Linked DNA regions of Yarrowia lipolytica. The protein of the gene in region 2 interacts with the protein of the main gene of each other region in a biochemical or structural test. Links are inferred from orthologs where the notes say so. Each region holds a gene or a part of one and is shown on either strand. Other genes may lie near its edges. The genes, in order: YALI1_E12402g and YALI1_A19459g.

Region 1 (4,613 bases), on a different chromosome or scaffold from region 2:
CATGGAGTATCTGTACCATAGAACGAGCAACGTTTCTCTCGTGGTTCATGTTCAACGTGTGGAATTCTATGTGTACGTCTTTTTATTTATTTATCTTTATTTATTGATCTTTATTTTATTTATCTTAATTTATTGATCTTTATTTATTTATTTATTTTCATTTTTATTTTTTAATCGCATTATTTTAAGAGAGAGCTGGGTCAGAGTTAATCCGTCGATCACATTCAGCGGTTTACCTACAGTACAAGTACTTGTCTTATTAAATATAGAGTTTAATGTATTAATGTTATAATAAAAAAAATTAAATAAAAAACACAATAATCTAAGATTTATTTTTATTTTTATTTTTATTTGTTTTTATTTTATTTTTTAATTATTTGTTTGACATTCCACGAGTGTTCAGAACTGCGACAATGTGAAAATCGCGCTCTTCCTACTCATTTTTCTACAAATTGCTTTCTTGCTGCTCATACCCTTATACAAAAATCCAACTATTCAAATGTACAATTAATGTAAAGACCTATAACCCCGAAGGAAACTCGGTATCATTATATCCAATCCAGCCAAAATCCATGATGACAAACACAATAATGATAGATGAACCTTCATATCAGAGTAGAGAGCGTCACAATGTCTAGCTCGTTCGCACTCCACTGCTCCGATTGAGAGTCCTGGAACAAGTGTCTCTCCGTTGCGCTCAACTATCTAAAACACATTCATGTCAAAACACTCCTCCGAGTAATAACTCGCAATGACACTTCTCCTGCTAAACCGCAGGCCCGTCAACTTCTGCATCGCCACTCGACTCGTTTCCACACTGGCAAACTTGACGTAAACCTTTCCCACACCTGGACGAGTCTCAAAGATTAGCCGTCGATACGACGCCTTCATGGCCTCGGGGTCAGGTCGTGGGATCTTGATTTGGACCTCTTCTCCTCCTCCATATTTGAGACACTCGGACTCGACCTGCTCGGTGATTTCTCTGTAGGCCACATCATCCAGCAGCTCGTCCAGAGTCACCAGGTTGAACAGAACAATGACCGACGACTCCGGCCGGCTCTTGACGTCATTCATGACCGTCACAATTCCCTTCAACCCGTTGTTGGACGAACACGACAACTGCGTGGGTCCTTCACATGCTAGCATTACCTTGAGGTTCTTTCCACCAATCACCTGTCCTGACAGCCCTGAAACGGCGTCCTTGACCACCTCGGGGTCCTTGTAGTCCACCAGAGCAATGCCCGCCGACTCCCGAGACGGCAGCTGTCGAATGAGCTGGAATGCAGAAAGCTCACCGAACGATGCTGTCAGCTGTCGCACCTGGTCCTCTTCTACGTTGAACGGAATATCCCACACAATGATTTTCGTGTTGGAGTCCTCCACCACAGAAGCCACCTCCTTCTCCTCGTCCAGCGATCTTCTTGAAACTTCGCTTCTCTCTGGCGTAGGACAAATGTAGTTGGACGGTCGTCGTATACTAATGGGGGGTCCCGAGTAATTGATACCTAGACCAGACAGAGCCAGGGCTAAGGTTGCCATTTCCGCAGAAAAGAACTCCACTAACACCTCGGGGAGACGAGGATGCTTGTAAACTCCGTCCACAATCCGTTCCTTGGATCCCTGCAGCTCCAGACCCTCGATGAAGTCTGTGAAGAAGCTCTTGATGGCCACCGTGTCGATCTGATCGGCAGGAATACCACTCAGAATCAGTCTTCGCGCCACCCGTGAAAACTCAGGTCGAACAGATCCCTTACCGTTGTTGATGGGTCCCGTGTCCACCAGAGGCATCATTGCTGCCGTCTCGTGGTCCGTGGGCTGATCAGGCAGACCTTCCACCAGTCCCCTCAACACATTATAGTTGACTTGGGTGGGACGTCCCGGTAACGGAAACAGACCCGATCGTTTGGCCAGCTCAGAACTGACCCGCTCATATCCTCGAGCCTTGACATCCCAGCCCGTGGGAGCAGACAATGGACGCTCGTCGAGAGGCACCACGCTATCGTCGATCGAAACGTCTCGATCTCGTTCGCGGGTTCGGTCACGTGCCCGTTCTCTGTCTCCTCTGTCTCTATCCCTATCCCTATCCCTATCCCTATCTCTGTCTCTGTCTCTGTCTCTGTCTCTGTCTCTGTCTCTGTCTCGATCACGTGGTCTGTCACGTGTGCGATCGTCGTCCCGTCGGTCCCGTCGGTCTCTACCTCCATCTCTGCTGTATCTGTCCCTTCGATCTCCTCGATCGCCGCGATCTCGATAATCTCGATCTCTGTGTCGTTCTCGCTCCCGCTCACGGTCCACCGAGTCGTCCCGTCGACGCCACCGCTGGTTACGGTACCGGTCCCGCTCGCGGTCTCGCTCACGGTCTCGGTCTCTGAAGTCCCGGTCCCGCTCTCGTTCTCGATCTCGGACATCTCGTTCGGTGTCGCGCGAGTCGTGGGAACGAGGTCGCGGCGGCTGTTGCGTGTCCAGCCCGCGCTGCGTCTGCGCCAAAAACTCCTCCACGCTGTTATTCATGCTGAAACAGACGGTTGGAGGGTGGTGATGTGGTGTGTGTACAGTTCAAACCAGTGAGTGCTGAGTAAGTACGCTGCAGGTGAAGAAGGACAAGCTTCACATCGGGTAGGGTAACCCAGGCAGGTCTGGTGGCAACCATACAACCCAGGGAGTAGACCGAGTAGAAGCAGATGCTTGGGGTATTAGGGCTTGGATGTCTTTTAAGGTCCACTTTTTGTGTCTGTGCTACTTTTTTTCTGCCCATTTTCAGAACTCACGTCCTTTCCTGGAAAAGTCTTCTTTACTTGACATTTTGTTAAGAGCAAAAGCATGCTGGGGGTTCATATTCGGTGTTCTAAAGATGCTAGAGAAATTGTAGATGAATAAAGCGATAGACCGCAAACATATTCTTAGCAAATGTTTCTTTTTGGCACAATTCATCTCCAAAAATGTCTTTAAAACTCCATCATAAAACCCCATCCCTTCAATCATTAGTTAGCGTTACACTTGGAAAATGATTACCTTTGGAACGAAATACTTATCTATTAGTTGGCTCCTCTTCTACACGACTAATCATCTTATCTTGACACATTTTGCATAGAAACAAACGAGATTCAAACGAGATTCAAGTACTCATCCACGCCCTTCATCCTCCTACAACTCCATCCTCCCTACAACTCCACACCATCACCGATCCAAACTTCTGTTTTCCACGCCTGATTTCTGCATCGTCGATGTGTGGAAGTTGGATGGAGTGAGACAGAAGAAACAAACAGAAGGGTCCAGAAGGGTCCAGAAACAGATGATGCACCGCGTGATACACAAGGCTGTCCTGTAGTGATTTATGAATGGTCTAGCCACACACCACTGATCCAAGATCGAGTACGAGTATGTACTGCATGTGTGCCGGAGCACCCCAAATTGAAATAATAAAATAATATAAATAAATAAATTGTCCTCCTTTTTGTCCCCCACACTCAGCCGCTCATATCTTTCTCTTCTTCCTCCTCAAACTCCATTATATCGCCGTCATTACGCTCCAAGAACTGTAAAGTATGCAACTTCAACCTCCTTGACCAAGCCCTGAAGACCCACAATCACCACCTGATGAGTCAGACCGGGGAACCGCTGTCGATGCAGACCAATCCACTCAATGGGAGGAGTGGCTTCGCCCATATCTCGCAGCTGGGGAATCTCAATGTTGGGAGGCTCCAACGCCACATAGACGTACTTTTCATCCAGAGCCACATCCTTGAGCTTCTCCTCCAGCTCGCCATCCTTGAGCACCGACGGGTTGGCCACAAAGTTGAGCTTGTAGGCCTCTCTTCGGCTGGCAAAGGCCTTGGCGTGCGAGTTCCACATTTCTCGGATGAAGGTGACTGAGCCAAAGTTCCAGCCAATGTCCACTTTGCCGGCGAATTCGGACGAGTATGTGAACTTGACCTCAGTAGGGTTGGTGTCGTACTGCCATGTGTGCATGTTGATGTCGACCTTGGGGATCCGCACAATGGTGCCTCCCTTGGCTCTGCGAGTATGAGCCACAAACTCGTCCACAGTGAGTGTCAACAGATCCTCCTCGTTGATCTGGGTCTTGAAAGTACTCAGAGCAATGATAAACTCGTGCATACCCAGCTCCAGGTGCGACTTGACGAGGCCACGCTTCTGGGTGTCACAAACAAACTTGGCATGTGTTCCAGACAGATTGACGTAGAGGACCTGAGTATCGAGAAGAGTGCTGGGGTAGACCTGCAGCGTTCCAGAGTTGATGGAAACGTCCACAGACGTGAGAAGATGAGGCCGGCCAACTTTCTTCTCCTTGGAGGGAGTTTCTTCGTTGGAAGCCCCGACTTCTTCCTCATAGGCTCCCTCAATACCCTGCTTGGTTCGAACCAGAATCTGAACGAGATCCAGAATGTTGGACGGAGCCAAAACAGTGATAAAGACACAAATCTGTTCAATGTCGACAATGGCGGACAGGTAGTCCGCCACTTCTCGCTGGTTGGAGACACTGAACCCGAGGTTCTTGATACTGGCAATACCAAACTGCTGGTAGTCAAAGGCCATCCGGATCTCCGCAGACGCCAGAGACGCCACAAGAGTCACCAGAGGAACATCTTCTGGCG
Region 2 (4,135 bases):
GATGCCTCGGACCCTTCGTCAGATGAAGATGACGATTTTGACATTTTCAAACACAAATTCATTTGTCCAGAGGACGACAAGGCCGAGGACTCGTTGATTACTTTGGGAGCATGACCGTGAACTTGACCCATTCGTACATATTATATATTTATTTTAAAGAAGGGATGTAGAATGTGAGCGCACAGTCAGTCTGTCATTCGGCTCACAACACTTTTTCATCAATCTAATCAACAGCCAAACTACTCGGGCCTGGTCCGTCTCTTTCCTATTATACTATACAAATCTGTTTGTACATACGTACCGTCTTGTATGCCTCCTTGCATCTCTCTATCTTCTTCCTCATCACCACAAACACTACTCTAACGTAGTTTTACCTTGTGGTGATATCTGAATGAGGGGGAGGGAAAGGGGGGAGAGTCTAACCACGACTCTAAAAGATGTCACAAGAGTAGAGATAATAGAGACCCTACCCAACTTTATCAGTAGTTCAGTCCACCCACCCATTCAATTTGCTGCTGCTCATGAGCGACAGTTTTAGTATGGCGCCCCAGCATCCTCCCTCGTGCTAAGCACTCGTTCGGTTACTTGGCTTCACTGGCCCATCCAACAATATCAATACCACTCCTGCCACACTTTCGATCCACCTTGATATCAGACAGACCACTGGCATCGTCCAAATACCGATGATTGCTCATGCCGCCCGCATCGGCTCGCTGTTGGGGATCCATCTGCAGCATTGGCAGCAGAAAGCTGGCCAGCAACTTGGCCTCCTCCTTGCTATGGTTGTATTTCTCATGCAGAACTGCCTCCAGTGGCCAGTCCTTCAGCTTGGAGATCTTCTTGAGCTCGCCCTTGTCGTTGAAGTACTCTGACGTCCATTTGCCGGTCTGCAGCACGCTGGTAGGGATCTTGCCGAGCAACTCGATGATCTGCGCAATGTGGTCGTCGTCCTTGGAGTACTTGGAGCCGGTCTGGGGCTCGAACAAATAGTCGCCGGTCAATAGCTCAAACACCAAACACGACATGGACCAGATATCGCTGCTGGCGCCCCAGAACGAGCCCAGCAGCACCTCGGGTGACCGGTACTGTCGCGTCTGGATGTCGTTGGTGAAGTGATGCTCGACCCAGCACGCGTTGCCGAGATCGACGATTTTGACGCTGATGAGCTCCTCGGCCAGCGCGGTTCTCGGCTTGGTGGGCGATACCGATGTGGGGCTCTTGGACAGCTGGTTGCTGGTCTTTTTCTCGTGGTCGTCGTCGAGTCGAACCTCCTCCACCATCTTGGTCATGGTGAGATCGTTGAAGAAGGACGCGTTGGAGCGCAGAGGAGAAGGGAGTGGCTGGGAGCCGGTGATGAGAGATTGTCGTCGCGATCTACGACCGGTTCTGGACCCGGGTTTGGTCTTTTTCGTCTCGACCGCCGCGCGATCCTCCTCCTCGGCCAGCTTAAGCATCTTCTCCACGTCGCCAATCTCAATGAGCACGTTTTCAGGTTTGAGGTCGGTGTGCACAATGCCGCATTCGCGGTGCAGGTAGTCCAGGCCCAGCAACACCTGCTTTGTGATCTGCTTGACGAGCTTGACGGGGATGCCGGCAAACTGGTGTCGTCGAATGAGACCCAGCAGATTTTCGCCCAGCACCTCAAACACCATGCAGTAGTGTGTGCCGTTGGGGCCCACGTGCTTGAAGCTGTCGTACAGGCCCACGACATGGGCCTTGCCTGGATGGTCGGGGTTCTTGCTGCTCACCCGCTCCAGCATTTTGATTTCGTCAATGGCCGTCTCTGTGTAGTGGGAAGCCGACCGCACCACCTTCATGGCCACGTGGCGGTCGTTGTTCTGCGTATCCCGCGCGAGCCACACGGTCGAGAAGTGTCCCCAGCCCAGCTTGCGCACAATCACGTAGCGGCCGTTGGCAAACTTCTCGCCGATCTTCACGGGATGGTAGCCTCCGGGACAGTAGTCGTCCAGCGACTCTTCGTTTTTCTGCAGCACCTCGTCCTCCGAGTCGCTGAGGTCCGTGTTGACGGTGAGTTTCGACATTGTGTGCAACTGGATATGTGATGATGGTCGGTGTTTGTGTCGTATAACCACGGACGAGTACTTTTTTTCTGGTGGATTTCGTCTCGACTAGGCTGGTTAAAAGTGTTTGGTGTAAACTCGGGGGTGTTGTGCTGTCGCGCTGTTTATGTAACGTCGGTTTGTGTCTGCGTCACGTCGTCTGTGTCTCCAACTGAGGGTCGCACGTTCAACTTGTATCAGTATGTCGTCTGGTCAAGTCGTCTCAGAGTACGAGTTCACTAGATATCGCCAAACTTGTTTTGATTTTAAAGTTGCGCATGCATGGCGTGCTGTGGAGGGCCTTGAAGGGGGTCCAAAGAGGGACTTGTAGACGCGCTAGAGACAGAGAAACCCCGCCAAAATACTCGCCCAATTTTTCTCTCCTGATTTCTCTTTTCAGAATCGCGCTGGGACCCCCACAGCCCATTCTAAACACACTCTCCTGCAGGTGCGGCAATCTACCCTCCAACACGATAAGATGAGCTCATGTTCATAACACCGGTTGTAGAGGCCCAAAAGCGGCGGAAAAACGGCTTTTCCAGGTCAATTGCCAATCGGAGCCCATTGCCGGAGATTTCCGCCCCGCCATTTCTTCCCCAAGTCCCCGCGTAACCCTCAGCCCTAAGTACATCCTGTCACGACCCACTTACCCTAACAGAAAACACATCCCAGCCACGCATACCCCATGCATCCACAATGGCAACCCTCCCACATACGAGCAACTCGGCGCGCTTCTTGAGATTAGGAGATAAGCCAGAAAGAGCGGGACAAGTCCGTTGGGGTGGGGGGATGAGTGTGTGGAGGTCACGTGACTCCTTCCGATGGGTGTAATCTGTATATTTTTGACGACTCTCATGCGGGAACATGGTGGTATTGCACTTGGAGAGTATATATACCCTGCTATACAGGAGAGCAAGAGAGAACAGTTGTACTACAAGTGGCACAACCAGCGGTACTTGTACTCTGTAGAACTCCGATTGCACAATTTCCACATGTACCTGAGAGAAGCACCATCTGCCTCTTGTCTCGGCACTGGCTGGTGTCTTTTGTTGTCTTTGGGTGACGTGTTTCAGATGTCTTGACGAGTACGAGTACGAGTATGTACGAGCGAGTACAATACACTTGGATACGATGTGATATCGGGCAGAATTAGAAAAATCGAGTAAAATAGATTGGAATCGGGAAAACCCCCGATTTGATAAGAGTCGATTTTATATATATTTTGAAAATTGAATTGCACAGGTTTCGAGCAACGCGGCCATTTTGACCCCTTTCTATACCAGTTGTTTGGAAGGCCTATATGGTCAATATTGGAATAAGATGTTTTTTAGAGATGACAATTACGTCATATTGGAGGAACATAAAAAGGCGTATGCAACGGACAGAATGGTGGCTCAACAAACTAGAAAAGACTATGGTTGGAATCAGCAAATCAATAGCTCTCGATCAGTCAAAAAATTATCGTCATATTGGCAAAACTGGCCTCATTAGAAGCCCTCTCCAATCCCTTGTCTCATGGCAAAAAGTAACGATCAGTTAGTAAAACTTTTACTACAGTGCAGTACTTGTAGTGTGACCTGGGTCAAAAAAAAAGATGGAGGTAACAAACAGAGCGGGTGTCAAGTCTACAAGTGCATTATTGGAACGGAAAAATTCCTTAAACGGGCATTTCTGGCTACTATACATACATCAGTCGTCTATCAAATAGCAACGAATCTATCTCACGCCACAGAGGAGATATTGGAAATCTGACAAATCCGTCCTTCTTTTCATGCCCATTTCAATCAGTTTATCATCTCTCGGCGTGTCCTTATCCCTCTTATAAGGTGCTGTTTGTTCGTCACCATCAGTCAGCTTTCAGTTGGATACTGAACGAGTATGTACTGTACCGTAGAAGAACATCCTGGGGTAATATTGGCCAACTGACTCTTTCAACCAACTCCGAATCTCATCTAATCCACTTCTGACTCTTTCGTTACCCTCCAGCTCACTTATTCGTCTCACAACCTCACCCGTTCTCTTTAGCAGAGGTACTCCTTCAACTCCAGAATACCATATCAAGAGCCATATATTTC

Evidence for each region.
Region 1: of the proteins of YALI1_A19459g (region 2) and YALI1_E12402g, one has a biochemical effect on the other in vitro, tested with the Schizosaccharomyces pombe proteins (4 studies listed by BioGRID). The link is inferred for Yarrowia lipolytica from reciprocal best matches to the Schizosaccharomyces pombe genes dsk1 and prp2.

Annotation. Positions count from the first base shown.
Region 1 is NC_090774.1:1,238,131-1,242,743, reverse strand, and holds YALI1_E12402g (uncharacterized protein), read right to left. Parts: upstream 2,512-4,613; coding exon 706-2,511; downstream 1-705. Other genes in the region: YALI1_E12421g (uncharacterized protein), read right to left, coding at 1-66, 521-609; YALI1_E12295g (uncharacterized protein), read right to left, coding at 3,523-4,613. UniProt on the Schizosaccharomyces pombe protein: Necessary for the splicing of pre-mRNA. The SF1-U2AF59-U2AF23 complex has a role in the recognition of the branch site (5'-UACUAAC-3'), the pyrimidine tract and the 3'-splice site at the 3'-end of introns.
Region 2 is NC_090770.1:1,943,794-1,947,928, forward strand, and holds YALI1_A19459g (uncharacterized protein), read right to left. Parts: upstream 2,043-4,135; coding exon 582-2,042; downstream 1-581. Other genes in the region: YALI1_A19428g (uncharacterized protein), read left to right, coding at 1-114; YALI1_A19441g (uncharacterized protein), read right to left, coding at 240-331, 375-504. UniProt on the Schizosaccharomyces pombe protein: May play an important role in mitotic control by altering cellular location, degree of phosphorylation and kinase activity. Abundant expression accelerates the exit when cells are in M-phase and also delays the entry into mitosis when cells are in G2.